2 linked regions of the Danio rerio genome follow. The protein of the gene in region 1 purifies or fractionates together with the protein of each later gene. This does not show direct contact. Links are inferred from orthologs where the notes say so. Each region holds a gene or a part of one and is shown in the gene's direction. Other genes may lie near its edges. The genes, in order: uqcc1 and uqcc2.

Evidence for each region.
Region 2: the proteins of uqcc1 (region 1) and uqcc2 purify together in Homo sapiens (co-immunoprecipitation; 3 studies listed by BioGRID and IntAct, counting the BioPlex papers as one, with this or other methods). This does not show direct contact. The link is inferred for Danio rerio from reciprocal best matches to the Homo sapiens genes UQCC1 and UQCC2.

The regions. Positions count from the first base shown.
Region 1 is NC_133181.1:55,285,039-55,301,593, reverse strand, and holds the start of uqcc1 (ubiquinol-cytochrome c reductase complex assembly factor 1), read left to right. Parts: upstream 1-6,931; 5' UTR 6,932-7,014; coding exon 7,015-7,089; intron 7,090-9,546; coding exon 9,547-9,657; intron 9,658-14,169; coding exon 14,170-14,277; intron 14,278-16,555. UniProt on the Homo sapiens protein: Required for the assembly of the ubiquinol-cytochrome c reductase complex (mitochondrial respiratory chain complex III or cytochrome b-c1 complex). Involved in cytochrome b translation and/or stability.
Region 2 is NC_133181.1:43,120,055-43,136,691, forward strand, and holds uqcc2 (ubiquinol-cytochrome-c reductase complex assembly factor 2), read left to right. Parts: upstream 1-9,009; 5' UTR 9,010-9,138; coding exon 9,139-9,276; intron 9,277-9,743; coding exon 9,744-9,818; intron 9,819-9,953; coding exon 9,954-10,023; intron 10,024-12,455; coding exon 12,456-12,562; 3' UTR 12,563-12,852; downstream 12,853-16,637. Other genes in the region: si:ch73-15b2.5 (rho guanine nucleotide exchange factor 19), read left to right, coding at 42-200, 631-707, 2,132-2,382, 2,462-2,622, 6,505-6,657, 6,745-6,874, 6,995-7,069, 7,144-7,236 and 3 more; tomm6 (mitochondrial import receptor subunit TOM6 homolog), read right to left, coding at 8,567-8,663, 8,775-8,869; tspo (translocator protein), read right to left, coding at 14,262-14,438.

The DNA.
Region 1 (16,555 bases):
GCTAGATAAAAAAATAACATTGCATAAAAAATACATTAGCCTCACTGAACTCGTTGCATTATTGAAATAGTTTGATTAATGGAATAATTCTGCAGAAGACAGCACAAAATTGACATTTGCTGAGCACGATTGATCAATATTTTCCTTGCCTTGTTTCCAAAATCGTCGCCAGTCTGTCCTTCAAGCCAAATTGACATACCGACACACACATTTGACACACTTCGACTCTCACTCACACACACACACACACACACACACATAAGCAGGACGGTCGTAGCAACACGGGCCGACACAATCCTTATTTATAGCTCTCTTTCCCAAGGTTTTTCTCACAGGAACAGGAGCGGAGCAGGAATCGAATGTTTCCTCTCCTGTCTTCATCAATCACTCCTTATTAATCCAAACATGCTGGAGAAAGCAGCCCTCGCTTCACTTGAGGAAAAAGGCCCATTTTGTTTTCTGGAAGAGAAAAAAAAGTAAGAGTTCTCATTGAGTCAAAGCTGGGTTTGAAATGAACCCTTTCAAGGAATCGCTGGGTTAAGAGAGGTTAAGAAATAACAGGAGAACTGTGAGGGAAATGTAAACCCAGGTGAGCCATTTATCCACCATGAAAAAATACTGTAGTCATTTATAGTAAATACCATCTTCTTTTTTAACCATACTGTAGTTAAGTCTATAATGTTGTATAGTATTTACAACACTGAGTTAATGAATGATAACTTTAGCATTATTAGTGAACTGATAAACAGTATACATTAGTTTTGTACTACAGGAAACTGTATTGTAGTATAACACATTCCCCAGCCACTTTATTAGGTATACCTTACTAGTACTGGGTTGGACCCACTTTTTCCTTCAGAACTGCCGTAATCCCTCATGGCAAAGATTCAACAAGGTACTGGAAATATTCCTCAGAGATTTTGCTTCATATTGACATGATAGCTTCACACAGAATTGTCAGCTGCACATCCATGATGCGAATCTCCTGTTCCACCACATCCCAAAGGTGCTCTATTGGATTGAGTATCTGGTGATTGTTGAAGCCATTTGAGTAACTCATTGTGATGTTCAAGAACTCAGTCTGAGATGATTCACGCTTTATGACATGGTGCTGGAAATAGCCATCAGAAGACACATGGTCAGCAACAATACTAGGTACAAGATGCCCGATTGGTACTAATAGTCTGAAAGTGTGCCAAGAAAATATCCCCCACACCATTACACCACCACCGCCAGCCTGAAACATTGACACAAGGCAGGATAGATCCATGCTTTCATGCTATTATTGGCAAATTCTGACCCTACCATCCGAATGTTGAAACAGAAATGGAGACTCATCAGACCAGGCAACGTTTTTCCAATATTTTCTTGTGTAATTTTGGTGAGCCTGTGCAAATTGTAGCCTCAGTTTCCTGTTCTTAGCTGATAGGAGTGGCACCCGGTGTGGTCTTCTACTGCTGTAGCCCATCTGCCACAAGGTTGGATGTGTTCAGAGAGGCTCAAAGTCACTTAAATCACCTAAGCTGCAGTATTAGGTAATTTGTTTGTATGACTATATGGGCGACATTTTTGGGGGTGGGGGGGGGGGGGGGGAGGGGGGGGTTGGGGGTTAGGACGATTCTACGGCCCCATGCCATGTTAGGACACTACAGCTCCCTACCCCGCCTTCATCCGCAAAACCCCCCATACCTCACCACCCACCAGCCCTCATTCACTTCATCTGCGACACCATCGGAATGTTCTCATGGGGCCCATACCGGCCAGCGCTGCCCCTGACTATAGTTGTTATACTGTCATGGCAATCTGACGTCATGTTGATCTCCTGATCCAGCTGGGGAGTTTTCACATTTGTTCATATTAAACAGAAGAAACATGACTCTGCTGTTACCTTAAATAAATTGAGAACAAACAAAAAATGTAGAGTAAATAAAAAAAATAAGTTTTTGCAGTTAAAAGCAAATGTAAAAAATAAAGCCACAGATTATGAAAACTGCTAGATAAAAAAGTGCTTTTCGAGGAGACACTTTTATAGTGGTTAAAGATGCAGATGTGAAAAATAAACTACCAAAAGTTCACATTTTGAAGAAAAAAAATTACAATGCGAGATATGACCCAGCAGACACACAATGTCATAAAACGTTAATATTAGGTTAGATTTAAATCGCCAGTGTCTAGGACAATGTTATTTTGACGTCAAACAAAGACGTGACGTTGATTTTAGGTTGTGTCAGAAAGTGACTAAAATCCAACGTCAAGCCAACATCTTAAACCAACGTCAAATTGACATCAAATACTGACATTTATTCATCAGATATGGCAACTAAAATCCAGCAACTGATAGACTTCATATTGGTAACGTCCACACAACGTCAAGCTGTAACATCATTAGACGTTAATATGTTGTTGATCTTATGTTGCATTAAAAAGTAACCAAAATGCAATGTCTGTCCGACGTCGGACATTGACGCCGACCTGATGTTGGACCTGACGTAAAACAGATATTTATTTCCCAACAAAACGCAACATCTCACAATGTTGAGGTACGATGTCAATCTGACGTCATGTTGATCTCCTGTGCCAGCTGGGGAGTTTTCACATTTGTTCATATTAAACAAAATGTAGTGAAAAATGTGAGAAATAATCAATAGTGAATACAGGAAACAAGTTGAAGAGAAACAGTCCCAAATAAGAAACATGACTCTGCTGTTACCTTTAATAAATTAAGAAATAAACAAAAAAATGTAGAGTAAAAAAATTAAGTTTTTGCAGTTAGAAGCAAATGTAAGAAATAAAGCCACAGATTATAAAAACTGCTAGATAAAAAAGTGCTTTTCGAGGAGACACTTTTATAATGATTAAAGATGCAGATGTGAAAAATAAACTACCAAAAGTTCACATTTTGAAGAAAAAAATTACAATGCGAGATATGACCCAGCAGACACACAACGTCATAAGACGTTAATATTAGGTCAGATTTAAATCGCCAGTGTCTAGGACAATGTTATTTTGATGTCAAACAAAGACTTGACGTTGATTTTAGGTTGTGTCAGAAAGTGACCAAAATCCAACGTCAAGCCAACATCTTAAACCAACGTCATATTGACATCAAATACTGACATTTATTCATCAGATATGGCAACTAAAATCCAGCAACTGATAGACTTCATATTGGTAACGTCCACACAACATCAAGCTGTAACATCATTAGACGTTAATATGTTGTATTATAATGCAAAATAAAATGCAATGTCTGTCCGACGTTGGACATTGACTTCGGCCTGATGTTGGACCTTATGTCAAACAGATTTTTATTTCCAAGCAAAACGCAACATCTCACAACGTTGAGGTACGATGTCAATCTGACGTCATGGTGTGCATGCTGGGGAGTTTTCAAATTTGTTCATATTAAACTAAATTTTGTGAAAAATGTGAGAAATAATCAATAGTGAGAACAGGAAACAAGCTGAAGAGAAACAGTCCCAAATAAGAACCATAACTCTGTTGATACCTGAAATAAATTAGGAAACAAACTAAAATTGACATTTGTATTTATCTGTCACCTAAAAAAGCTGCCAGAGTTTTGCTGAGGTGACCTTGAGCGAAGCAGTAATTCTTTCATAATGAACTGTATGCTGCTCAAAGGCTGTTAAGAAAATGACATTTAATCTGTGCAGAACACACAACCAAAGCTGTTGCAGTCCCACATGGTTTGACCCAGCGCTTTGCTTGTTTTTTCAGGGATGGGTGACATAGGGATGAACAACATTTCGGCCGTTCCTCAAGAGGCCCCTTCACCTCCTCTGCTGTTTCCTGAAGGCATAAAGGTGCAGCAGTGAAAGCTAGACAAATATTTCACCACTAATAACGGTGACATTCTCCTTCCCGAGCACAAAAAAAAGAGTGACTTGTGACATTTTCAGTTCAACCTCCACAGCTATGAGGAAGAAACAAAAAAGCGACGCAAAGACAACTCCAACATTACCTCATGCACTCCCTGCTGTGAAAACATCCCGACTTCAAAGTGTTTTTGGTACTTTTACGTGAGGAGAGGGTCGGAGGGGGGGTGATTTTTCTTAATCGTTCATGCATAAAAGGGCATTACATATTTCTGTGATTTTTGGATGCACTCGGGCAGGAAGTTTCCTCGATGCCCGGATGATTTTAAACAATTTGTGGACGCGGCAGTGTGTAGTTTTTGCTTACTTTGTGGCTCGGGAGCTGTGATGCCAGGTACTTATTGGACATTAATCTTTGGAACAGACTGGAGGCAGTCGTTCGTCATCTGGACTGATGTGATTTCTCTGTTTCTCTGCTCTGCCAGCAGAAATGCCACTGTCTGACATCATCGAGCTGCGCACCTGTCGCTGCCAAAATGCAACACATCCCTCTGAAATGCAATTCAGACTGAAGCTCTGCTGTAAAATGTTGAGGACTCACAATTTAACAATATCCCCAAAAAAGTATTTAACCAATTGATGCTGTCTTCATTATTAAAATAATCTTGATTAGAGTAAATGTAGCATGTGGGGAAAGTTAGCTACTGTATTTTAGTATTTTAAAAAACAAACAAAGAAAACAAAGTAAAGAATTGTTCTCATTTTCATTTAGCTAACACATTGACGCTCAGGCATTTTGTCTTGAGGAAAAAATGCCCCTCAAAATGAATGAAAGTGCTCCCCGCTCTTATATATACCCGACAAAGTCCTGTCGTCTATACAAGTTTTAGGAACAACAAATAATAACTTGACTTCTAGTTGATCATTTGGTATCAGGAGTGGCTTATATGAAAGGCAAAGGCCTCTACAATACGCTTATTTAACCAAAATAAAATATAATCATGCCTAGATTTTAAAATATTTATTAGGACAGTGAGGTCTGACTTTGCTTTGACATAAGTCTTGCCACTTCACAGAAATAATGTACAGTATACTCCTCCTTCATCTTACCCCAGACATGCTCAATAATGTTTATGTTTGGTGACTCGGCTGGCCAATCCTGGAGCACCTTGACCTTCTTTGCTTTCAGGAACTTTGATGTTGAGGCTTAATTATGAGAAGGAGCGCTATCCTGCTGAAGAATTTGCCCTCTCCTGTGGTTTGTAATGTAATGGGCAGCACAAATGTCTTGATTCCTCAGGCGGTTGATGTTGCCATCCACTCTGCAGATCTCTCACACACCCCCATAATGAATGTCACCCCAAACCAAGAGAAACTGCAGTATTTGTGATGATTGGGATGCAGTTTAACAGATGATTCATCAGAAAAATCTACCTTCTGACACATTTCCAAATAATCAACTAGAAGTCAAGTTATTATTTGTTGCTCTTACAACTGGGATTGATGACAAAACTTTTATCAGGTAGTTTATAGTCAAATATCTTGATTGTCTATACACACATCCTTAGTGGTTTTCATCCCTAGTGGTCTGTAACTTATTTTCCATAGCTTTTATGTACAGTTGAAGTCAGAATATTTCCCAAATTATGTTTACCAGGGCAAGGATATTTTCACAGTATGTCTGATAATATTTTTTCTTCTGGAGAAAGTCTTGTTTGTTTTATTTCGGCTAGAATAAAAGCAGTTATACATTTTTAAACGCCATTTTAAGGACAATATTATTAGCCCCTTTAAGCTATTTTTTAATAGTCTACAGAACAAACCATCATTATACAATAACTTGCCTAATTACCCTAACCTGCCTAGTTAACCTAATTAACCTAGTTAAGCCTTTAAATGTCACTTTAAGCTGTATAGAAGTGTCTTGACAAATATCTAGTAAAATAATATTACTGTCATCATGGCAAAGACAAAATAAATCAGTTATAAGAAATTAGCTTTTAAAACTATTATGCTTAGAAATGTGTTGAATAAATCTTCTCTCTGTTAAACAGAAATTGGGGAAGAAAATAAACAGGGGGTCTAATAATTCAGGGGGGCTAATAATTCTAACTTCAACTGTATACATTTATAAAACATTTTCACAAAAGAGACACAACAACAATCACTAAACTAAAATTATAATGAAATAAGAAAATAGAGAACTTAAAACCTACAAAAAATAGTACAACTGGTTAATATAATTGCTGTATAAAACATGACTTTTTTGTCATTTTAATGTATATAATATAATATGAACATTTAAATAAATGTATTTCCATTCCAAGTGAATAATAAATTGCTTTATAAAGTAACTTTATAATATTAATAACAATATAAGGAGTGGAGAATCACCATTATAATAACTATAGCCTATAGAGATTAATGCAAGATTGAGGTAAAGTTGGTTTTATATTCACAACTTTGGGGTTCAATAAACTATTTATGTAGAAGTTAAAAAGGTTAATACAGAATTATTACAATGACGTACTGTTATGAGCACAACGTGATAACTTGTGACATATTCCCTATATTGTTTACCACGATATACTAAATATTTGGTCTGTAATCATGTAAATATGACTTGAAAACAACATTAGCACTATTTAATAGACTGTGAATGTTGTACTTTGATAGTCATTGGCTGCTATATGATTTCCCCATTTAGAATTACCAAGAAATACCTGTCTGAAATTATATTAAGATGGTAAAAGTCCGAATGGGCTGATATAAAAACCAACTTTAACCCAATTAATGCAAGTGTGCTACATTGTTGACGGCAGTCACACTCTGCTCCTATGTATTTTAGACACTAAAATTAAGAGTAGTAGATCACTTAATTGTGTTTGCCAACGATAACACAAAGAGCAGTGATGGTAAAGCTAACGTATACTTTATCAAGCGGTTTTTTGCCAATATTTGCCACAAACTCTCTCGTGTGGAACCATGTAGCACAGCTCTGCATTGCTCTGCTCTGATTTCCACACGGAGCGGTTTAAGAGCGGGACAGATGCTTTGACATTGCTGTAAAAGGGGAGGGACGAAAACAAACTGTTACAAAACGTGTAGGAAAGTATCAGTTACTGATTCCTGCTTTATAGTTACAATAATACTTTATTATTGTGACTTTAGCGGAATCATGTATCGGCGACCGCTGCAGTCCGCCGTTAGACACTTAATAAACGCCTCAGCATCGAGAGCTGTCCTCGGAAAGGTAACGTTAATTATTATGTGTACTTAAAAAGATAATAACATCACTGAAGGGTTTGATATTGGAGCCATTTTAAAGCCTTATCCTTATATACGTGCTAAAAATGTAATTTTAATGTTGTTTTGGGTTATTCTGTTCTATATTTTGCAGCACAATTATGAGCTACTGTAAACTAACCTGTATTGCCCTGTATGAGGAACATTTTATTATACAGAACATTGAGAAAGTGTATTTTCTTCTGCTTGTCTGTACTATTTTCTGAATAATGGAGTGATTACAAAAGATTCTCGTAATCACAAAACCTGTGACTATACTAATATAATGAAACAAGAATTCAATGGAACTAATATAATTACTGAAACATTTGACTCAAATAAAATAAAACAGGAATTTCCAGCTTAATTTAAAACCGTGAACGGATTTTGTGGTTTATTTTATGCAAATTAGCACATCTTATTTCCATATTTAGACGTGTAGGTCAATGTTTTAGAAATCTCACACATCCCAAAATGGGTTCAATTTGTGTAATGTAAGCAATTATCACATTATATGGAATATTTTACCCTACAGAACATTGTTTATTTTTTACATTTTTATTTTCTTGTTGTTTGCATTATTTTCTGAATTATGGAGTGATAAAAAAGATTCTCAAAAACAACAAACCTTTGACTCTAATATAACGAATCAAGAATTCAATGAAACTGTAATTTCACCAGCTTGGACCACGCCACACATTGAGCTAGACTTTATTGTAGGGGTGAAGGGGATGGTAAAAGAACAGTGAGATAGGGAAGTAGGAGGATAAACAGTGAACAGGTAGGTAGGTTGATCAGGCTTCCTACGATGATGCCCTAGAGTGGGGGTACCGTCTCTGTTGTGTTTTGGTAGGGTGATTGGACCTCCCAATTCAACCTTGGCCTGAAGAGAGGGTTATAGGATTGTGAATGGGAAGCGAGGAAATAGAAGGAGGGAGAGTGAGTTTGAATGAACGAGAAGAACAGTGCTAGAGGGCTGGTCTGCCTTTAATAAGTTTCAGGGAGTAGGTGATTGGTTAAGGAGACAAAGTGAGGCGTGGTTCCACTGCCGAACCATTGTTAACAAGTTAACTCCATATAATGAAAGAAACTTTTCACTCCAATAAAACAAAACAGGAATTTTCAACCTGATTTGAAACAATGTTCTGAATTTGTACTTTAATTGTATGCAAATTAGCACTAATTTAATTTCATTTGCAAATTTGAACATGTAGGTCAATATTTTAGAAATCTCACAAATACCTAGATCTGTTCAATTCGTATAATGTAATCAATTAACAAATTCTATGGAACATTCAACATTGTGAATTTTTTATTTGTGGTTGTTTGCACTATTATGCGAATAGATAAATGAAACCGTAATATATTGAAAAAAACATTTGACTCTAATAAAACAAGACAGGAATTTTCAACCTAATTTAAAACAATGTTCCGATTTTGTGCTTTATTTGTATGCAAATTATCACATATTTAATCTTATTTGCATATTTAAACGTGTTGGTCAATATTTTAACAATCTCACAAATCCCAAAATGTGTTCAATTTGTGTAATTTAATCAATGAATGAATTATATAAAGGATAATATTCTGTATTTGCTTTTAAATTGTATGCACATTAGTACAAATTTAATCTCATTTCCATATTCAAATGTGTATATTAATATATTAGAAATCTCATAAATACCAAAATGTTTTTAATTAGTATAATGTAATCAATTAACAAATTATATGGAGCATTTAACATTGATTTTTTATTTCTGGTTGTTTGCACTATTATCTAAATCATGGATGAATGAAACTGTTATATAATGAAAGAAACGTTTAACTCTAATAAAACAAAACTGGAACTTTCTGCCTTGTTTCAGATTTGAAACAATGTCCAGACTTTTCCCTTTAATTGTATGCAAATCAGCACACATTTACTCTCATTAGCATATTCAAACCTGTGTGTACTTTAGAAAGCTCACAAATCACAAAATGTGTTAAGTAACTTAATTGTATGCAAATTAGCACACATTTATTTTTTGCATATCCAAACATGTATGTCAATATTTCAGAAATCTCTTACAAATTATGTACAATTCTTATAATGTCATCAATTAAATGGGGAAGTATGTTTTTGTGTGTATTTTTTTTTCCCTGCAGTGTCTTACCTAGGCATAGGCCGGTATAAGATTCTGATGGTATGACAACCTTAGATTAAAATATCACGATATTACTGCGTATACAGCAGGAACATATTAACAGAATATTTTTATGGTTTTAAAACCGTGACTTTTCCAAACTTCTGTAAGCCTTGAAACTAGTTATAGTCCCATGCCTAGTCTTGCGTTTAGACAATTTAGAGTAGTCAGGTATCAGAACTCTCAAATTAATTTTAAAAAATGCCAAAGCACTTGTCAAGTTGAATATGTTTGTTTTTCAGGCCATTGAACAAGTCGTGTGTCAGTCCAGGGCTTTGGTGGCTTGCCGTGTAGCAGCGGATGCTGGAGTCCCCTTTCATTCACAATGCAGAGCTCTTCACAGCACAGGAGAGGTATGGACTGTTTTTTTATTTCAATTTATAACTAATTCATCCTCAGTGCATACCTAGTTAGAATCATAAAATAAGGTCTTCATTTTATTACAGTAATGAGAATGTAATGAGAGTTACATCTGAGAGAACAATATCATAATAAAATGGGCCTTCAGTCAGAGTTTGGTTGGAAATGTCTGCACAAATCGGAACAGTTTCTGAAAACAGGGCTTATTTTAGTGTGTAGATATGCCTGAAGTTTCAAATATGAAAAACATGAGCAAAAAATGTTGTAAAAATAAATCTGCTTTGTTTATCTTTTTTATCATTCATTTACACAACATCCTAACTTCTCAAATGAAGTTGTTATGAGTCTGCTTGATGAAAGGATTTGCGTCAGTATTGTCTACTTTAGGTTGCATTATTAAAAGATCCACGTTACTGTAAATTACACATTTGTTATATATCGTTCCAGTTTAAGGCAAATAAATGTAAAATGGTTGGAATGTATCTGCATTCCTGGAATGAGCTATCCGCTTGTCAAGTGTGAGGTCACGCAAAGCGGCTTCCGGGCACAATCGCTCTATACAACTGTATGGGAAGACTCATGAAATGGTAATTATAAACTTTTACAAAGCGATTTATTACTTTCGAAAATCACGATCGTAACATATATGTCCATGCCTAATATACAATGTCCAGAAAGTTATTCATTTTTTATAAATTGTTCAAATTTGGGTATTTGTTATGCAGCTAGCCCAGAGATTGTTGTGTACATTATGACTTTATATGAAATTAACTTTAATGTGTGATATGAATTAAAAGTGATCTTAAACGAATAATTTCTCAACTCAAATTAGTGGCGGCTTGGACCCGTAAACAGTATTACATACATCACCAACACGTTACGACTTAACAAGCGGATATGTATATGTCATGCTTTTTATAATCTGACAACTTATACAGCACTAATTGTGTGAAGGAAGCTCTGGGAAATCTTGTTATGTGCACAAATAAAGATCTGCTGCCAGGAGATGCACTTGCTTGGCTTGTACTGAACTGCACAGGGCAACATTGCCACTTTAATGACAAAATAATAAGTATGCTTATGCATTCTGTGCTTTTTTGGTTCATTCTGATGTCATTATTGATTTTTTATTTCATTTGAATCACAGCAGAATTTGTTACGTGTTTCTCATCTGCTTGTTTGGTGTGTTAAGTATTTAATGGCACTAATAGACCAATCGCACCAGCAAACAATAATTTGTTAGACTTATTCATTCTTAAGAGCTTGGCAATTCTCAATATTTTGTACAAAGCAAGCAATTCAGATTGTAATTTGTAAGAATTTGCCTTTAAACATTGGAAATTACACTATGGGTGTGTCTCAATCAGCAGCCTTATTCAATAGCCAGTGCACTGATCAGGTCGCCAGCCATTTTAAGAGCTGTCTCAATTTCAAACTTCTTCCATTGAAACGTTATAATTCTGTAAAGTCCCACAATGCACTGTGAAAATCAGGACACATTGATACACCCTATGTATGCCCTCTTAACGGAAGTTTGAAAGTGTGAAATATGAACAGTGTTTACTCTATTTTTTTAAACAGATCTACCAACTACCTGTGGCGTTATTATATTAGTGACAAATGTTGTGAGCGCAGTATTAGAAGTCGGGATCGCATTTATGTAATAGCCAACGACATGCGAATCTCTGTGCTTGCGCGCCAATTTCCTCTGCTCGTGCATAAAACTTCTTGCACGCCCCCTCAAATATAAACCGCTTCAAGAGCGCGCAGATCTTCATGTGCGATTTAGTGCGTTTATGTAACCAGTATAGCTCCAGCATTTATTAGATTTGCTAGGAATATTTATTAATGTCTCTAATAGACCTACAGAGTAGCATTAATGTGTCCTGAAGTAAAGTGAAAGGGCTATACGTCGTGTTTGCTGGCCTCAAGCATCATGCACCTGTCAGCTTGTCAGTCAGTCAGTACATCACCTTAAAGGGTAAACAAATGACGCACAGCACTACTACGGTTACAATAAAGTATTCGCTATTATAATTCACTTACCCTTCAATACATTTTGGTGCGATTTATTACCCGTTATTAGTGGTTGAAATGTTGCTGGTATATGAAATAATCAATTTATTTAGCTTCAAAGCATTTGTTAAAACGTGTTAAAATTAATATATGAAAATGATTAGTTCCACTGTTTATAAACTCCAGTTTTTATGTTGTAAAATGAGGATGTTCCCATGTCACACCCAGTGTGTCCCAATGTGTTGTGAACAAGGCTCGTTAGTGCCCTTACCAGTGCCCAAATTTTAGGGTGAAACAATACCCCCAAAATATAATTAAAAAAAATTGTTCTATTTGTGTGATTGCACTAATAGAGCAATCACACAATTCAATCAATTCAATTCAGTCAAACCAAACCTACCAAGTGTGAACACAATCATAGCGAAAGTTTGTTTACTTTTTTATCTATATTTTTGAGTGATTAATTAATTAAATTGAGTGGTTAATTAAACTATCCAAATCGCACAAATGGCATGGGAATTATATTGCCAAAACATCAGGGGCCTCATGTATGAAGACTTGCGTGGAAATCATACTAGAACATTGCGTACGCACAGAGCTGTAAATGTGCGTGCGCATAAAAAAATTAAAATGTTTGAAACACTGCGTACGCCGAATCTCACGCATATTCTTTTGTACATCCGAATGAACGTGAAACTGAGCGCAACATGCACGAGCACAAAACCCCTCCCTGCCTCCGCCCCCGTATGAATATGCTAATGACTCTACTTTGGCAAAACCCAACGAAAAAGCAATGGCAAAAGCAAGCAAAAAGAGAAACTTTGAACAGAATGTGAATTGGAGGTTCTCCTTTCGGAGGTAGACCGGAGAAAAGCGGTGTTATTTGCAAGTTTGTCCTCCGGACTTAACAACAAAAGAAAAAAATAGAGTGGGAGAGTTTAGCTGATGCGGTTAACACAGTTGGGTCTGAACATCGCACTGAGTGAATTAAAAAAAGAAATAGTGTGATTTATAGGTGTAAAATGTTGCAGTACCCTTAACAGTCTCAGTGGCGCAGCTCGTAAAACGCATGTCAACATGTTTTGAGACGTTCGAGCTTGAACTCGGTTCGAATACAGCGTCTGATGAACTCATTCTTCTTTCCACCCCCTACCCCCACAAAATATCAGATTTTGCCAACTATTTATCACGAGAAAGACAAGTAGGAATCATTAATAAGTCTGTGCATCATATTTTATTTATTAACACAACTGCCTCTAGGAGTCGCCAATGGAAATAAAACAAACACGCACAAAAAATGTGCGTACGCCTGCCATAAAGCTGGCGTGGAGCTGCGCACATTCCCACGTTCAGTTCATCGTTAGAAAATCCAAACGTGAGCGATTTTGAGCATGAAACCTGGCGTACGCAAAGTTTTTGTGCGTACGCAGCGTTGATACATGAGGCCCCTGGACCCAGGTGGCACAGTGACGCAGTATGTCGCCGCACAGCAAGAAGGTCGCTGGTTCGAGCCTCGGCTAGGTCAGTTGGCATTCCTGTGTGGAGTTTGCACGTTCTTCCTATGTTCGTGTGGGTTTCCTCCGGGTGCTCTGATTTCCCCCACAAGTTCAAAGACATGAGCTATAGGTGAATTGGGTCAGCTAAAGTGTCTGTAGTGTATGTGTGTGAATGGGAGTGTGTGGGTGTTTCCCAGTGATTTGTTGCAGCCGGAAGGGCAGCCACTGCATAAAACATATGGATAAGTTGGTGGTTCATTGATTTCAATAAAGGGACATAGCCAAAAAGAAATGAATGAATGAATGAATAAAACTCTGGACACTCCAAACTAATATAATTTTAAATGTGAATAAATGTATTGACAGCATATTTTTCGACAGAACTAATTTCAGTTGCAGATTTTGCAATTTCGAACCAGTTTTAAAGATTTTAAGAAATATGTATTCTCAAAAGTGTGCAGAGGTTTGACATTTGTTATATGTTGGCAATAATCATTTCCTCCCGGTGCGACCCCAAAGGGCAAGTGCTGATTATAGTCTACTAAACTTCTAGTCTACCAGAAATCCCACTCAATGCAGTAAAACATAAAAATCTTGTGGGAAATCCATCGGGAAAGGTTTTATTGCCTTCATAGAAGTGCCTTTAGGGAACTAGCTGAACATTGCGATACCTCCATAAACTGTACCCAGGTAGAGTTTAGATTTACAGGGAAATTATTGTGAAATGCTGATCTTAGACTTCAATAACTGATGGATTTGACACTATAGTGGCTGTTTGCCAATATTAAAAACAAGAACTCTATAGGTCCTTCAACTTTAGTTGGTCTTGTAACCTGAGTTTGTTTTTTCTAAATGCATTCTGTTATGTATTATGTTTCAACAACAGTGACCTGAGTTTGTCTTTTTACCATGCGTTTACTTTGCAAGATGCCTATTAGTTTGCCATTGTTTTATATTATGGCTTTAAATGAATTTCTGTGTTCTGTTTTGAAGCTGTGTACTGTTAAAGAGACCCCGCAGACCACAGATGAAGAGGTGGGAGCCTTCACCAAAATGATTGAGGCCATGGGCTTCACCGGACCCCTCAAATACAACAAATGGGTAAATAAAGCCGCTCATCCAGTGCTTCTAAGCAGTAGATGACATTTGGTATTTGTTAGTCAAGATGAAAAGGTATTTTCAAGCATCAGAGTGTAATAAAAGTGAAATGCCGCTTTAAATCATGTTTCTTCTCATGAGGAAACAGAACTTTTTTTTTACAATGTCAGTTTAGTTGCCAATTTGTATGAAAATGTACGATTTTTCAAAGGAGGCGTGGGACCAAACATCACCCCTAAACCCAGCTGTCATTGGAAAATGAGCAGATTGTACTAAAATGTATGAATGAGATCGTACAGTTTCATAATAATTAGCCACTAAATCAAAAAGTTATGAGTTGGCATGAGATCTAACATGTCCTGTTTGGAAGGAATGTCTATAAAATAAAAAAAAAAAAAAAATATATATATATATATATATATATATATATATATATATATATATATATATATATATATATATATATATATATATATATATATATATATATATATTAATAAACAATTTAAATGGGTTTTTAAAAATGTTTTGATGTAGTTTTGTTTTTACACACTTATCTTATTATGCAGATATCAGATGTCTTTGACCCACATTATTTTATGCAAGAATTGAGATAAATCTGTAATGTGTTTTGCTTAAAGATGCACAAGAAATGCACAAATTAAGAACATAATAAATGGTTCTTTTTAAATTAACTTATGCATTAAGAACCATATTTTTTACACATTGGTGTCAAATATTTTTTTTCGTCTACAATAGATCCTTCTCACTAGATGGTGGTCATGTTTTACCAATCATCAGCATCTTAAATCCTTGAAAGTGTTTAAAGTACACATAATATCAAACTAACCATATGATTTTGTTAGCTCATATTGGTAGTTATGTGGTGAACACTTCATCTGTGCATGTCATTAAGAGGAAAAATTTTAAAGTAAAATATGATAATGCACTTCCTGTTTGTTTTCAGTTAAATTCTTAGATTACACAATTTTGCTGTGTTGGGCGTGGCTAACATACTTAACCACGCCCTTCCAGCGGTCAGTTTTGACAACAAACAGAAATGGTGAGAAGAAGGCATCTGTTAAGTTGTAATAACTCTTCTAAAACCCTTTTTCTGATCTTTCTGAATAAAATGCCGACTTTACTACCATCATTCAGACCACTGATTTCTCATTTAATATTCTGTTTCTCTTGAAACTGCATCACGTAATTGAAAATGCATTGCATAATCTAGGTGTTTCTAATGCAGCATCTTTTGGAGGGACAGTAAATTTAAAGGGAATGTAACATGCTCACTTTGCCAAATCTCATATTAATCTCGAGTGCGTATAGAGTAGGGTGATGCGATTAATTAAGATCGAATCGTAATCCCAATTTGAAACGTTGCAGTTAGTTAATTGCAAGAAGCTGCGATATGAAATATATATTATTTAACTTCCCCCACCTAGAGAAAATGCGTGACTGCCGTTTGTGTGTGACAGTTTTACTAGCCAATTAAGTGAGCACACTTTTGCTCTGCCCAATCAGAATTGCGCAACCAAACTATGCGGAAGCCCACAATAAAAAAACAAACAAACAGAAAAGCACGGACGAGTGGGATGATGGGATCTGCTACTTCAGAAGCATTAATAGACTAATTAAAGTCAAAGGAATACAGCACGTCAGTAATATGTAAATATCCTGGTTTCAAAGTCACAAACACCAAAGAAAACCAGGTCATTTGTAAGAGCTGTCACAGAATTGTTGCCACAGCACGAGGAAATACAACGACCAGCACATTAAAAGCACCACAGGTTGTTGTATGAGGAGCGTCGTGCAAACAAATTTGACTAAAAGTACTGCCAGTCACACTCAATCTAGTAACAAGCAACAGTAAATTACAATTTCAGAGTTGTTTGCTAACATAAGTTGATATCTTTTAAGTTCCTTTTTTAAACTAAGAATCACTGCATTTTAGCAGTAAGAAGCTGCAATACAGGTTATTGAGCTGAAGCTTGGCTACAAAATTAAATTGCAAATCAAAATCGCAATATCTGTCAAAAAAATCAAAATTAGATATTTTCCCCAAATCGCACAGCCCTACTATAAAGTGGTACTGCATGCAGTTTTCTCAGAAAATGTCTTTTTTTATATATTTTTCAAACAAAGTTACAGGTTTCTGATTATATTAGTCTTTTTTTTTTTTTAAAGAGAGAGTCATAAAGGCAAGTTTTTCTTTTTTTATTTGAGTAAATTAAAATGAAATTTGTGGTACTCTTCACTGCTTTTTAAGTGTACCCAA
Region 2 (16,637 bases), about 12 Mb from region 1:
GACGGGATGTTATTTTGATCGCTTTCTTTTCTTTCTCTTAGTACATCTGAAGGGTTGGCTGAAACTCTTAGATCTGTTGCAAGCTCACAATTGTGGAGCTTTGTAGGGTATTCTCTGCCCATTGCATCCCTCTTCTCTGCGGAGAGCTACAGTCATCTGGAATTTTCTGACATGAACAGTGATGACAGTGAGGTGAAAAGGTAAGGCATTGATTTATTAGGCAAACTTTTAAAATCTAAAATCACTTACAGATGAGAAATACAAGTTGTTTTAAAAAGAGTGAAAAGTTACTATAATTAAAAGTGCCTCTAATGCAATGTTTCACATTATTTTGAAAAATAAAAGCTAAAATCTTCATGCTGTGCATCACAGACCTGTTTAAATGTGCTAAACTCAAGGTCCTGATCCAACCTGATAGGAATTTGATGTTAATGATGCACAAAATGATAATGTCCTCTTAATCGCCAGTCAAACCAACGCACAGCTGTTTTTGTAAAAACATCTAATCCTGAACTTCACAGATCCTCACTGCTCCACAGACAGAATCCAGTTCCCTACAACTTTTATTTTGCTGTTTTGCTTTGACATCAATCACAACCTTTGTTTTAATGCCATTTTTCCTTGTTTCAGTATAAGTGAAATGGACGTCAGTGTACAACAAGAGAAAACATATGTTGCCAAGTTTGAATCCGAGTACATCAATAGTTGTAAGTTTACAAATGATTGAAAGAATTGATTGACTTTTACAAAACTGTCTACCAGATAGTGTAGATATCACATTCACCAGACATCTAAAGTCATTTAAAGGGTCACGAAACACCAAAACACATTTTTTGAGCTGTTGACAGTCGTATATGTGTCCCACACTGCTAAAAACACTATTAGGACACCTATATTTCACTAAAAAGTGTAAATTGGTTGTTTTTGCGTTATTTCAAGCAAATTCGTACTTCCTGTTTGAAACTAATTTTTGAAGCTGCGTCACGGTCATGACATAATAGTGTGTATTCCAGCGTGCAGACTGGGCGTCTGTGCCAGAGTGAGTCTTATTACGTCTTACAGTGTGATGCATTAATGCATGAGTAAGGCTTGGTTCAAACCAATCAGCGCGCTCTATTGTGCAACTTAATTCATATTCTTTAGCGTCATCGTGTTTACGCCACAGAAACGCCACGTTGTGTTGGCAAAACAAGCGTGAAGTGTTGCTTTTATAGTTTGCTGCCATTAAGTTTCGTTTTCATTTTCTCTCTGTGAGAGTGTGGATTAACAGTGTACGCGACGCTCGACAACAATAACTTGCGTGTCTAAGGAGGAACATTGTTTACCTGAGAGCTGTTCTCATCTGCAAACGCTGAAATCCGGATTCGCTTGCAACGTTAGTCTCCTCTTCATAAAGACGTGGCTCTAGTTGCTGGTGATTGTTCTGTCTCTACAGATTTGGTAAGTGAGCGACCAGTGCTCTTTGTTTATTCAGTTTGTTCGTATCGAATTAAGTTAACTATTGCACTGAGTGCAAACATAGCACCGCATTTTGTGACCGGAATAACACACGCGGCTTTCTGACGCTACCTGCCGTGTGCATCTAAGTTTCCGGGAAATGCAGAGTTTTTTTTTCTCTCATTCGCCGTGCGGTATTAAACATTGCATGAAAAATACACGCTAAGAGCAGATCCTCGAATCAAATATCTCGTTGTCGCGAGGGGCATGAATGAATTCCCTGAATGAAAGAGCCAAACTGCAGTTAAAGTCCAACATTTAATAATTTGGCAAATAATTCGACTACAGATGTCCATGTAGGTTAAACACCATCACTTTCTCATGTGTGTGTATTTTGACTGAAACTCGCGCGAGCCCAAATAGACACTCCCACACCATCCCACTTTAGTTCCTCCGACACTCCCCCCTAAACAGAGCTGGACACGCCCACTTTTCTGACTTTTTCCAAAGTAGAGGTGTGAAAACACCCTGCTGAAACGAGGGGGTTTCATGGCCCTTTAAAATGTATGATTTTTCTTTGAATCTTTGTATTACTGCAGTGGTTTAATGAAACTATACAGTTTGGCAGTTATTAGTCAAAATGTATAGATTTCCCAAAAAAAAGACTTAATTCTGCTCCAATTTTATATTCTAGCTGTCCCTTTATATCAGGAGTATTGGATGCGCTCCTTCAAGAAGGACTTAAACCGAGCACAGCTTGCAGGACTTTCAGAATTGGTTGCATCTGTGTGTCTCCCTGGTCTGAAAACTCCCCCATCTTTAAGCCCGACCTCGGTTTTGAGCCCACCAGGGCCTCAGTCCAAACCATATGCTCTATGGCAGGAGTTACCACAAGCAAAGAGTGTGCTGTACTCCCTCAGTGCACAGGACATCCAGCTTCAGGAGGTGCTTATTGTTGTGCATGCTTGAAAGAACCTGATCTTGGTCTGGTGTTACTCATCTTTCTGTTTCATGTTTTTGTTAGGCCATGTTTGAGCTGATTGTGTCCGAGGCCTCGTATCAGAAGAGTCTGATAGTAGCGCTGAATGTGTTTCAGTGCTCAGCAGAACTCAAACACATCCTCACCCGAGTACAGCATCATGTTCTGTTCTCCAACCTAAAAGATGTCTGCAGAGTCAGTGAACGGTAAGGATAGTCACTCGGGTTAGCAGTACCTTCATTTGATATGTATAAATGAAGTAATATCTAGACAGGGGTGCTCATTCCTGTTCCTGGAGATCTACCTTCCTGCAGATTTCAGTTGCTGCCCATATCAAACACACCTGCCTGAAATTATCAAGTGGTGTTCAGGTCCTAATTAATTGGTGTGTTTTGATATGGGTAGCAACTGAAATCTGCAGAAGGGTAGGGCTGCGTCCGAAACCGCCTACTACTCAGTAGGTACTGCATTTGAATTTAAACGTACTACTCGGCCGTTAGAAAAGTATGTTCTATACAGTATAAATGTGAAAAGTATGAATGGAATTCGGACATACTACACCATTTTGACATAGTCATGTGACGTACCTGCGTAATTTAGCGTCGCTTCACTCCCATTCATAAATTCACTCGCGGGCCATCATGGGATAGCGCATTATGCATGGGATGTGCACTCCAGAATCTCACGTAAAGTAGTAAGTCATCCGAGTACTTCTCGCATACTGGTTTTTGAATTTTATGAATTCGGACATACTACTCGGCTCACATACTGATTTTAGCATACTACAGTCTATAGTATGGAAGTATGTGGTTTCGGACGCAGCCACGATCTCCAGGAACAGGATTAAGCACCCCTGATCTAGAAAGCAATTCATAGTACAGGGTGCTTTCAAAAAGAAAACCACAACTTTGAAAACCGAGAACTCTGCAGAGTAGAAAACGAGAGCGAAGCTCTTTCTGTCTTTGATTTAAGGAAGCTCCGTTTCACATTGAGGAACTAAAAGAAGAAATAACTGCAGCTAGCCAAAATGTTACGCCCGAGATGCTACAGAGAGTATGAAACGAGTTTGAATATCGGGTTGATGTCACCAGAGTATCTTAAAGGGGGTCATAAGGAACATCTATGAACTTGTTTTCTACTTAAAACAAAAACTTAAGTACTCTTCATGTTGATTAATTACCCAAGGTTCCATCATGTTAAGTTAAATAATATAAAATTATATAATTTTAACTGGCAAGGCAGTGGCGCAGTAGGTAGTGCTGTCGCCTCACAGCAAGAAGGTCGCTGGTTCGAACCTCGGCTCAGTTGGCGTTTCTGTGTATGTATCCGTAGTGTATGAGTGTGTGTGTGAATGTTTCCCAGAGATGGGTTGTGGCTGGAAGGGCATCCGCTGTGTAAAAAAACTTGCTGGATAAGTTGGCGGTTCATTCCGCTGTGGCGACCCCGAATTAATAAAGGGACTAAGCCGACAAGAAAATGAATGAATGAATAATTTTAACTGATTTACAGAAGATGCTCACGAAAATGTAATTGTATTACAGTATTTTATATACAAAAAAAAATTAAAGATATTTCATTAAAGAATATAATTTGATCACAATTCAGCTCCAAAATTCTAAATTAGTGTCATTTTAAATCTTTATACTAAATATAGAGGGGTTGGACTATGAATTTTAAACATGGCTAAATTTGACCAGCCTGGTGACCAATCTTCATTGATTCAGAGTTCATCCAGTAAGGCTGCGGTCACGCTAGACTTTTCTCCCCATAGACCTCCATTCATACACACGCAAATGCGTCAGACCGGAAATGCAAGCTCATGTGACAAGTTTCGCAGTTCGCTGCATTGCAAAGTTCAAGCTTGGTGAACTCTGATCTGAGAAATCGCATCGCTTGACTGCGTGAGACCAATCAAAGATCAAAACATGACCTCTCTGGACCTAAATTTAAAATATGAACCAATCAATCACTCACTTTTTTTAAATGTCTAATCATCTTGTTTAATCCCGCCCCTTTTTGCAGCGCCATACTACAGATTTTCACAAGCTCAAACTCTAGTGTCCTAGATGTCCTTCCAAGAGGAAGGGGGTGGAGGTGGGCATAGATTGTTAGATAGATGTCTTCTTTGTGGCTGTTGATTTAATTGTAGTTGATGAACACATAACAGGCGGAAAAGGGAAACTCACAAGAGCATCAGAAGCAGGGGATTTGAAAGGTTTATTTTGCAGATTATTATTACAATTCTCCAGGTTAAGGTCAGCATACCACAAAGAACAACTAACTACATTCAAAAGAAGTAACCATGGACTCCTAAGGAAGCTGTTTGAAATGGATTTCCAGTTGCTAAACCGGGATTAAATCCAAAAAATGTAAAACTACAGCTGTCCAACTCACTGCAGAATTAAATGTGCACCTTAACTCTCCTGTTTCCTGTCGGGAGCTCCACAGGGTCAGTATACATGGCCGGGCTGCTATAGACAAACCTTTGGTCATTCGTGCCAATAGAGTTTCAATAGTGCCAGCAGCAAAAATTTTGGCTGTGGACAATGTGAAATGTATTTTTCTTTGAGTCTGCCTTCATTGTCTTTCCCACATGTGGGAGGGTTACAGTGTGGAGAAGCTCCAAAAAAGTGTACCACCCAGATTGTTGCATTCCCAGAGTGTAGCATGGGGGTGGATCAGGGAGGGGCTGGGGTGCAATATTATGGCATTTACTAGACCCAAAACTTGTGCTAGACTGCCAAGAAATACCGAACCGAATGATGATGCACCAATACACACAGCAAGAATGGTGACAGTGGTTTGATCAAGCAAGTGAAGTTGAATATCTTCCATGGCCTGCACAGTCATCAGATCAAAATATTATTGAGCCGCTTTGGTGTGTTTTGGAGGAATGATTCAGGAAATATTTTCCTTTACCCTACTGATTCTACTAAAATGGCTCAAAATCCCTCTGGCCACTGTGCAGGACTCATATCTGTAACTCCCAAGACAAACTGATGCTGTATTGGCTGCAAAAGGATGCCCTACACCAGGGGTGTCCAAACTCCGTCCTGGAGGTCTGGTGTCCTGGAGAGTTCAGTTCCAACCCTACTCAAACACACCTGAACTAGGTAATCAAGCTCTTACTAGAAACTTCCTGGCAGGTGGTGTTTGAGCTAAACTATGCAGGACATCGGCCCTCCAGGCCCGAGTTTGGACAGCCCTGCCCTACACCATATTAGTAAATTATTGTGGTCTAAAACCAGGCGTTTCAGTTTCATTGTCCAACCGCTGCACTTATAAATATAGTCTTCTTCATTCAAAATCTCATTTTTTTTTTTCTCCAAAAGTATTTTTATTGAACATATTAGATATGAAACATACATTACAAAATAGCTTTTCAAATTTTTTTTTTTTACACAACAAACAAACAAAACCTGCCGCACATACATTTAGGTTCTAGAAAAAAATATAAATAATATTGAGAAAAAATGCAAATAAATAGTAATAATACGTAAAGCATATGTTACTCTCATTAATAAGGGGAGAAAAAAGAAAATACAAAAAATTGAAGAGAAAAGAAAAAAAAAATACAACAAACAAACAAGGAAAGGTTCTACTCTTCTAAAATGACTGAGGGGTCCATCTTTTTTACGTGATCTAAAACAGGTTGCCAGGTGAGAAAAAACATATCAGTACAGCCTCCTAAAGTGTATCGTATTTTTTCTAAGGTCAGGTGGTGTAGAAGTTCCATAAGCCATTGCTTAAAGGTTGGAGGAAGTTTTTCCTTCCATTTCAGCAATATTAATCTTCTAGCTAAAAGCGTAGCAAAGGCAATCACATTTATCTTGCTTTTGTTAAAACATAAGGACTGTGGTGTGATTCCAAAAATTGAAATTATGGCCTCAGGTTCTACATACGTATTTAATGCGTCCGAGAGGAATTTAAATATTAGCTGCCAGAATTTCTTTAATTTTGAACAAGCCCAAAACATATGAGATAAAGTAGCTGGCTCAATGTTACACCGGTCACAGTTAGGGTCTATATTTGGTTTAAATTTTCAAAATCTAATTTAATGCAGGACATGTTGTCTTTGGTTTTTGTAGGTTTCTGCAGGACCTGGAGTCTCATCTCAGGCAGGATGTGGTGATGTCACAGGTTGGTGACGTTGTTTTGAACCACCAAAAATCCTTCCAACAAGTCTATGTGCCGTATATCACCAACATGATGTACCAGGAGGCCCTCGTCACTCAGCTGCTGTTTGTTCCGTTTATATATTTCCACCAAATTCAGCTTCAGTTTATCATCACAGCATTCTGATCGATATTTTGCACCCCCTCTACCAGACAGGAAAACAGGAAATTTGCACCAATCCTAAAGAAACTAGAGAAGGACCCACAATGCCAGAGACAGACGCTTAAGTCTTTTCTAATTCTTCCCTTTCAGAGGATCACACGAATAACTCTCTTGCTTGAGGTTTGCTTCCCTTTTTAATAGGTCAGGGAGATGTTGGATATTAGTGGTAAATGGCAAATACACCAATTGGTGGAGTAGTGAACGTGATTATTTATTAGTTGTTTGTGTTATCTGGTTTAGAATGTCCTCAAGAGAGCTCGGGGTGTTAGTCTCAATGTCCCTAATGTGAAGGAAGCCATTGAAGCTGTACGGAAGGTATTACAAGTCATAAAATAAAATAGATTGAGTTCATCTGCTGTTAGGATTCATAATTCAATTTCTGATTGTAGATAGTGGAAGAGTGTGACACAAGAGTCCAGAAAATGAAAAGAACAGAGCTGCTCGTTTCTTTGGACAAGTTAGTGGACTTCGGAAATGTCAAGGTACAAAATATCTTGAGTTCTTTTTTATGCCTCTGTCAAATTTGTAGACATATTTTTCTTTTTTTCAATAGGCTGTTCCATTAATCACCAGAGGACGTCATTTGGTTCAGGAGGGAACTTTGAAGCAATTAATAATTGGTGGCAATCACAAGGCATCTATAGTCTCTCGCAAAGATTTATACATACACCTTTTCAATGATCTTTTGCTCCTCTCTGTTAGAAGGTATGATCTGCTGCATGATTTCCATTGACTCTTTAATTTAACGTTTTATGTGTAGGTGTGTCTGTGTATGTATAACCAATTTTATTATCTTTTTCTTCCTCTATTCAGCGGACAAAGATTCCTTGTGCAGGACCATGCGTTATTTCCTGATCATGTACGCGCTGAGGAAATCAAAACTACTATTTTGGGATTACCCTCTGAATCCCTCCTGCTTCATCTGACTAAGAAGCATAATAGATCGTCCTCTGCCCTGATACTTGCTGCACGCAACGAGTAATTAGTCTTGGCAATGGTTCATATTGTGTAGAACTAAGGGTTTACAAAATTGGGGGCCACAAGGCAGTGCTTAGGGGGCTGTAAAATGTAAAGTTAATTATTTTTGAATAAAGCAATAAATGAATGGATTTAAAAATAATAATAATAAGATAAATGTGCTGATTGAGAAAAGAATACATTTTAATTTAGATTCAGATTAGAATAATAATATATTTGTACTTAAGTACTGTACTAACGTATACATTGGGACTTTGTATTTAAAAGAAAGCTGGTGTATTTCAAGTTTTCTTGAGTGAACATTTTGCTTTTAGTTGTGCAAGTAAATGTTTGTTTTTCTTTCTGTTTTTAGGTTGGAAAAAGAAACCTGGATTAAAGCTCTGTCATCAAAGTAGGAGACTGCCATTATGGGAAAGCTACGAAGGATGTTCTTTAAGGAAAGAATCAAACTGTGGATCATAAAATAGACATTATAATTCATGCTTTTAATTTTTTTGGAATATTGTTCTGATAGTGTGTATATTATATATTTATTATAAATAAATGGCTGTAGGAAACGTTTTAACATGAGGTTTATTTCAACAAAACACAATGCATATACAGAAGAAATTTACAATTTGTAATCATCCAATTGTTGGGATTTATTCCCTTCGCTGTTGAATAGGCTTGTTCAACAAGACCCACTGTAGAAAACGTCTTTCTTCTCCCATTTCAGCACCACCTGTGTTGAAGAAGAAGAAACCCAAGTTAAGTCATGATGAGAGGTGAACGATGATTTCAACAACATTATGCCATTTCACCTGTAAGAGTCCATTTTGTTGTTAATGTGTGGAGCTACGTGACCGGCTGAGGAGACATCAAGTCAAAATCTGAAAGGTTTCTCGCGACCCAAACACCCGCAGCAAACAAGCCCAGGTTCACAAGGAGATTCCTGTAACAACAGCAGACACTTAAAACAGCACATGTAAATCAGATTTTGAGTAACGTTGGTACGTTACATTCGTCGTTTCGAGCCTTCGTAAATTTATAAACCGTGACTAACCTTCTAAAATCATTTCGGTCTGCGGCAAAACGGCAAGCCGAGCTTATCCATCCCGTGACCCCTCCCGATTTCCCTTCCGATTTCTTTCCGCTCATTGTTTTTAAACGTTATAATAAATTATTAGGATTAGCCACACGAAGCATTCAAGCAGAAGGTCTTTGATATTACCTTGGAATTTCTACGGCAAACCACGAGGTTATCGCATTAGTACGGGTGCTCGACGGGGACAACCCGTAGTGAGAGACGGGCGATATCCGCAATGAGGAGTCAATATTGAAACGCCGTACAATTTGTCCCTTCACGGCTTACAGATTTGTACATGAGCGCAGTTGTGAAACACAAATCCTGTAACGTTACTTGAAATATGTCTGCCACTAGATATCGTCGATTTCTGAAGCTGTGCGAGGAATGGCCAAAAGACGAGTCTAAGAAAGGAAGAGATTTAGGGACGTTTTTACGCCAAAGAGTCGCTAGTGCTTTCCGGGAGGGCGAAAATACACAGGTATGTACTGCACCATTTATCCTTGCTGACATTCAAAGTCAAATCTTTCATTGTGTGTGCAGAGATATGTTATGCTATTGAGATAAAGTTGGCTTTATATTCACACATTCGGACTTTCTCATCAATTATTATAAATAGTGACATATCACTGTATGTCAGTGACTATCAAAGTAAGTTACATTATTCAGACAAATAAGTCATGCTAATGTTTTGAATTCGTTCTTGCATGTGATTTGAATTTCACACCCAAAATCTAAAGTACCATGGGGAAAAAAGTTGTCATTGAACGAATGTGCGAATATAAAACCAACTTTACCTCAATTTTGATGCTTTAATTAGACAAGCCTCGGGTTTTTTTTTTTTTTTTTTTTTTGTAGTCTAGTGTTTAATAATCAGTTCTCTTGTACAAACATTGAATTTTATAAATATTACTTTAAGCTATTCGTGCACAATTGTTTTCTATTCAGATTTCAGACCCAGAGAAATGTGATCAGATGTATGAAAGTCTGGCTCGCATCAACAGTAATGTGTACAAAGAGAAGGTGAGTAGTGCTTTTTGGTTTCCTCTAGATGACACTTCTCATTTGGGTTTATTTTGCTAATACATTTATATGGTTTTCATTTGTGTTGACCACATTCTTGAAATGTTACAGTGACTTTTTTTTTTCTCTCTCCAGTTTCCACGAGCAAAAGACACCAGTTTTACAGGTGTGACAGTGGAAGAGTGTCGATTGCTGTTGGCCACAGGTGTGGATTTATACATTATATTGTACAAACTGAGATACACCAGAATTTAAAAGTTGTGAGAAATTTTGCAGAGCTAGATCCATTCCTGCGTCAACATAATTTGCTGATCCTGAAACATGTTACCTGTCAGAAAACTCATTTCAATTCTAATTCTTACACTAAACCCAACCCTACCCATACTGTAAATTATTCCTAAAACCAAAGGGAAATAATAAGTAAATATCAATAATTTGAAAGCACCAAACACTGATTGTAAACCTAAATGTTACATAAACTGTAAACCTTTGTCTCAAATCTGATTGGTTGGCTGGAAGTTTGTTCCAGGATGAACAAAGATGCTGATTCAAGAATATGTTGCACTTGGTAAAATCGGGTTCTGCATGTGCAAAGGTAAAACAAACAAAAATGGCTATATTGTGAAATATTATTAGTATTAGCTTTTTCTGTTAAAAATGATTAAAAAGGTGTTCTGTATATAATGACTATTTTAGAGGTTTTTGTAGATCAAACTACACAAATTATGTGTCTAATATTTTTTAGGCTACATGCAGATATAAACACCTATTTTAGATGAAATGTGTTTTGTGAATACTTGATGTCTATATCGGTGCTATAGATCTGCCAGTTTCAGACTGTTAAATGGTATTTTTCCTAGCATGGATTGGCGTGATTATGCATTTACAATGGTATGACCCGTTATGGGTGGACAGTCAAATATGTTTAAGTTATACATTGTCAATCCTCCCAAACCCCCCTGCAATTCGCACCATCGTTATATATTGTTTAAGACACATTAAACCTTATCGGCATGCAGTATGGACAGCAAGTTAGAATATTATTGTGCAGGGAACCATTACTGTGCATATGGCAATAAACACTGAATCTGGAACCTTTAATGTCACATGATTCTTCAGAAATCAATCTGACATACTAATTTGCTGATCAAGAAAGATTTCTTAAAATTATCATCTGTTGATGTTTTGTGCAGACAGTACTGTATAACAACTGATACATTAGAGATTGTTTTGATCAGTAGAAAGCATTAATGCATTATCTTTGCTCTTTTGGTCAATTTAATAGAATGTATTTTTTTTGTTTGCTTTTGTCATGGCAGTAAACATGACCAAATTTAGGTTAATATTATGTGAAATTTAAAAATACATTATTTTTCCTCCTTTAATGTTAAAAGCAGAGGTACTGCTATACTTATTAGAAAGGATGATCAATTTGTCACTGATAATGTCATTAGTGACATTAATGGTATATATATAAGTGTGACAGGCCGTCTGTTTGATAAATAAGTAATACTGATCAATATTTACGCCCCAAACTTTGATGATTGTTCTTTCTTCAGATTCTTCTGTATTGGAAAAAACCTGAGCCCCCAACACATAGTAGATGGATTAAAGACGTTATGTATTTTATTCAGCTTGAAAAAATCTAATTTACTCTCAGAGGTTCAAAAAATATTTTTTTTAAAACATCGTCTCCCTTTCTTACACACGTTGACAATTTAAAAATTTTTGAGCAGGAGGATATATAAAATCTCATATAATCCCAAAAGACCCCCCCCCCCCCTTTTTTTTTTTAATTAATTAATTTATTTAATTTATTCCTCTTTCACGTCAATGTAACCTTGTAATGGCTTTCACAATTGCAGTGCTTATAAGAAAAGTGTACAGAACCTTCCTTTTATTGCACACTGAACTGTTCACTTTTTATGTGTATCGTATATTTTTTTGCATTTTGTCATTACTGTATTGAAGTTGTGTGTGCACTCTATATGTACATTTGCTGTGCATTTGTGTGACGCTCGAGGACTTTGTTTACAGACTGTTAGCTATGTATATCTTCTGATAAAGCCACAAAAGGGAAAGTTGTGTTGGGGATATTTGTTTATATATTTTGTTTTGTTGTTGTTGACTGATTGTCTTTTTCTGTTTTGTGCAAATGTATATATGTATATATATATATATATATATATATATATATATATATATATATATATATATATATATATATATATATATATATATATATATATATATATATATAACCTTATAAATAAAGTATTTAAAAAATACATTATTTTAAATTAAGTTTTTTTTTTTTTTTTTTTTTTTTTACATGATGTAGAGTTTCTAAATTATGTTTATGACCTGTTGGTCACTTTTTAAGCACAGACTTGAAATTAAGATGTTTAGTTTAAACTGCCCAGTGTCTTGAGTACAAATGTTTGGTTTCTTAAAGACATTTGCCATTATTTTAGAAGTTTATTAAAGTTTTTGTGGCAAAAGGTATGGTATGAAGACTTGTTTAAAACATTAAATGTGGTGTCATGTAGCATCTTTTTAAATGTCTTTTATTGAGCTATGTATAGTGGACAAAAACATGAAAAATAAGTAGGTAAATGATGTTGTCATTTGTTTCAGGAAGCATGCAGCAGACAGATGAGGAGAAGAAGGGATTGTGGAAGACCCTAATGGAGCGCTTCTCCTCCAAACCTGAAGACGTACCCCCTGAAAAAGCTGAGAAATAACCTCCATACTGTATAGTTCTTATTTATTCCCCTTTGCACTTTCACAGATAGACCCAATAAGGTGTGTATGCAGATCTTCACTTTAACAGCTGTAGCTCTCCTAAAGTCGATGGTCGAAACAGAGAGCTCCAACAAGCAAAACCAGTGATTTTTGTTGGAAGAGCTGCTGTAGGGTTTAAGAAATGTGACAATTCAGGAAACACCGTATTCAGTTTTATAGAATATTACTTGCATATTATTTTTCTTGAACCAGCAGATGCCAATAAATACTTTTTGTATTTCCCTTTAAACAATCCTGTGTATGTTTTGACTTCAAGTGGAAAAACCTGAATCCTTTTACATACACATTTTGTGCTCCTACAGCATGTTTGGTTTACTTCATGCCTTTAATTGCCACAGATGTATGTTCATGGTAGGCAGGGCCACTTAAAGAAATCCTCATTTGAATGCTTGTTTAAAAAAAAAAAGACTTCATTAGGTGTTGCAGATACAGTTGAAGTCAGAATTATTAGCCCCTATTGGAGTTTCTTTTTCCTTTCTTTTTTTGATATTTCCTAAATGATGTTTAACAGACCAAAGAATTTTTCACAGTATGTCTGATAATATTTTTTCTTCTGGAGAAAGTCTTATTTGTTTTATTTTGGCTAGATTAAAAGCTGTTTTTAATTTAAAAACATGTTAGGGACAAAATTATTAGCCGCTTTGAGCTAAATTCTTTTTTCGATAGTCTACAGAACAAACAACCATCGTTATACAATAACTTGCCTAATTACCCTAACCTGCCTAATTAACCTAGTTAAGGCTTTAAATGTCATGTTAAGCTGTATAGAAGTGTCTTTAAAAAGATCTAGTTAAATATTTTTTTACTGTCATCCTGGCAAAGATAAAACAAATTATTTATTAGAAATGAGAATATTTAAACTATCATGTTTATAAATGTGTTGAAAAAAATATTCTCTCCGTTAAACAGAAATTGGGAAAAAAAATTAAACGGGGGTGAATAATTCAGGGGGGCTAATTAATTCTGACTCAAAGTGTACATTACTAATGTATTTTAATGAACATTTAATGGCTAATTGTGTATATACCATGTTAGTTAGATTGGCGGTAGCTAAGGTAAAATAAAATGAAAATAATTTAATTTAGTTTAAATGTGCTTATTCATGATTAGGGTAAAAATAAATGCAGTTGTTCATTAATGGGGCTTACTTAACAATGTGAAATAACTGAATGCATGTTGGGGGATTTTCTGGCTAATATTGATAACATGGCCTAATCTGTGATGAAGCATGTTCCCAAAAGATAGATGGTAAAAGCCTCCTCTGCCTGACCACCACCCTTGTACAGCCACAACACTTCATGACCAGAACTTAATGTTTGTGATAGAAACCACATGCAGTGTGCTTTAAACATGTTTATTTAAGGAAGTTAGCAAACAGTTGATTTGAAGAGCAAATAAACTGATCTAAACATGAGTAAATAGGTGCAGTGTGTTAAAAAATAATTTATGGAAGCATTAGAGTATTATTTTATTGCGTCACCTCTTCTACTTAAGACATCCGGTGAATTACCTTGCAAGTGAATATAAAAAAAATTCAAACTCTTAATTAAACATTTTCAGAAATGCCAACAAGTAACAAAACAATCATGAGTGCATTTATTCTTCTTAGTTGTGTTAGCTGGAATAGTGTTGGGCTCTTCAGTCTTCTTTCTTGGGCTCTGGGTTGTCTCTCCAAATACAGTAGTTGAGGCTGGTGGCGACACACAACCAGGCCATGTATGGCACCATGAGAAGTGTTGCAGTGCGGCTGATGGGATACCAGGACACCATTGTGGCTGCCACTGTGCCACTCATCAACAATAGCTCTATCAGTGCCTAGATATAAAAGAAAAACAGAAGAGCACCACAATGTGTTTTTCATTTCAAATTAATGAAGCAAATAAAACTGTCAAATTTCAGAAGTATGTTCTAAAAAAAAAAAAAAAAAAACAGAAAATGACAACAAAAGAAGATATTTTGAAGAATGTTCAAATCTGTTTAGCCTTGGCTTTGTTTGCATCCACCAATTTTTATGTGTACTTTAGGATACCACATAAAAAAACCTACAAATATTGAATTTTTCAACTCAGATGAGTCAGATGAAAAGAAATTATTCAATAGATAAATGCATATTAACCATGATGGAAACAAAATTTCCAAAGAAGTTTGGCAAAATATAATATACCAGTATTTATTCTAATTTTACAGATTTCATCAGATAACTAGACAAACCAATGGACTGATCTTGTCTCGCACCAAATGTTTTAACAGTTCTGCAAACACCTGAGGAAAATTCTATCCTCAAAATGAATTTATCAATCGACCATTTAGCACGATAACAATAAAACCTCAGGCATTCACCTCTAAACTGATGTGTGTGCTTGGAATATTTGATAAGAACGGGGAAAAAAGTTCTAAAATGGATTGGCTTATTGCAGGGACGTCCAAACTCAGTCCTGGAGGGCCTTATCTCCAACTTGCCTTAACACACCTCCAAGGATATTTCTAGAAAGCCTAGTAAGAGCTTGATTAGGTAGCCCAGGTGAGTCTGATTGGGGTTGTAACTAATCTTTGCAGGACACCGGCTCTCCAGCACCAAGTTTGGACACCCCTGGCTTATTGCATGAATTATTTTAAATAATAAATGTAAAGAATTTTATTATTAATCTATTGTGCTACTTTGCCAGGCAGTGATATTTGTCTCTTGAATGTGTGATGAAAAAGTTGCTTTAATCATTGAATGGAGAAAGCTTATGTCATTGCGAATTGAAACAGTCACCGACATTCTTCAAAATATATTATTTTGTGTTGCAGAGAAGAATTATCCTAACTAAACAATGACTGAATTTTCATTTTTAATTGTGATTATCTTTATATTTTTACCATGACAATGTACCTGAAAGATGAATGCTTTTTTGAAAAGCTTTGACTCTCTATAGTCAAAAGATTCCCTGTCAACACAAAATCGTAATGAGCATTGCAGGCCACTAGTTTATGATGTCACTCCTAAAAGAAACACTACGGGTGCATCTGAAGTTGCACACTTCCCTACTATATAGTATGTGAAAAACAGCATGTGAGCCAACATAGTGTGTCCAAATTCATAGTATTTAAAAAAACAGTACTCAAGAAGTATTGATAAATTGTGGATGTAGTACATCTGAATTCCACTGTTCTCGCATTTATACTATATATAACATACTTTTTGAACAGTCGTGAACATTTGTGATTTCGGACAGCTTTTTATAGTACATGTGCAAGATTGAACACGTAGTACACACCCACATGATGTCAGCATATTCACAAAATCACTAGTAGTTTGCAGCGATGAAATAAAGTGCACTTTGAACACACATTTTTTGCATTTTCAGGCTTCCAAAATACCATTGTCATGTTAAAAACTGCATAATATTCCCTCCTTTTTTGAGTCTGATAAGATCTCATTAGTACTATATGTGGAGAAACAGGTTCCTGGTTTAACTTTTAAAAAGTTGCTCCATATTTTAACTTGAAATACACTGAAAAAATGGACTTTTGTTGCTAGTTCAAAGTACTTTTTTAAGATAAAATAAGTTGAAACAACACCATTCTTAGCCAAAATCAAACAAAAAGTGCTCAGGGGTAGCTTAATTATTGTGTTGGTGCTCTTTGAATAAGGGATTCACCAAGATAAACAGCAAAAGTAAGTTCAAGGCACTCGAAAAATGTGGACAAAGTATTAAAGAGCCTATATTGACATGGCTATTCCTTAAAACTGCGCCTACACCTTTCAGCAAACACTTGCCACTCTGATGATGGCAGGAGTTTGCTGAAACACATAGGTACAGTTTTAAAGAATAGACATGATAATCAAGGCTCTTTAATACTTTGTCCACATTTTTTCGAGTGCCTTGGGATTGTTTTTGCTGTTAACACAATTCTTATGTTTGTTTTAGGACACTGATTTGTTTATTGTTCAATCCACATACAATCCACATATATATAAAAATTAATTAATTTGTGTTGGGACAACATGAAGTAATTGTGTGGAATGCA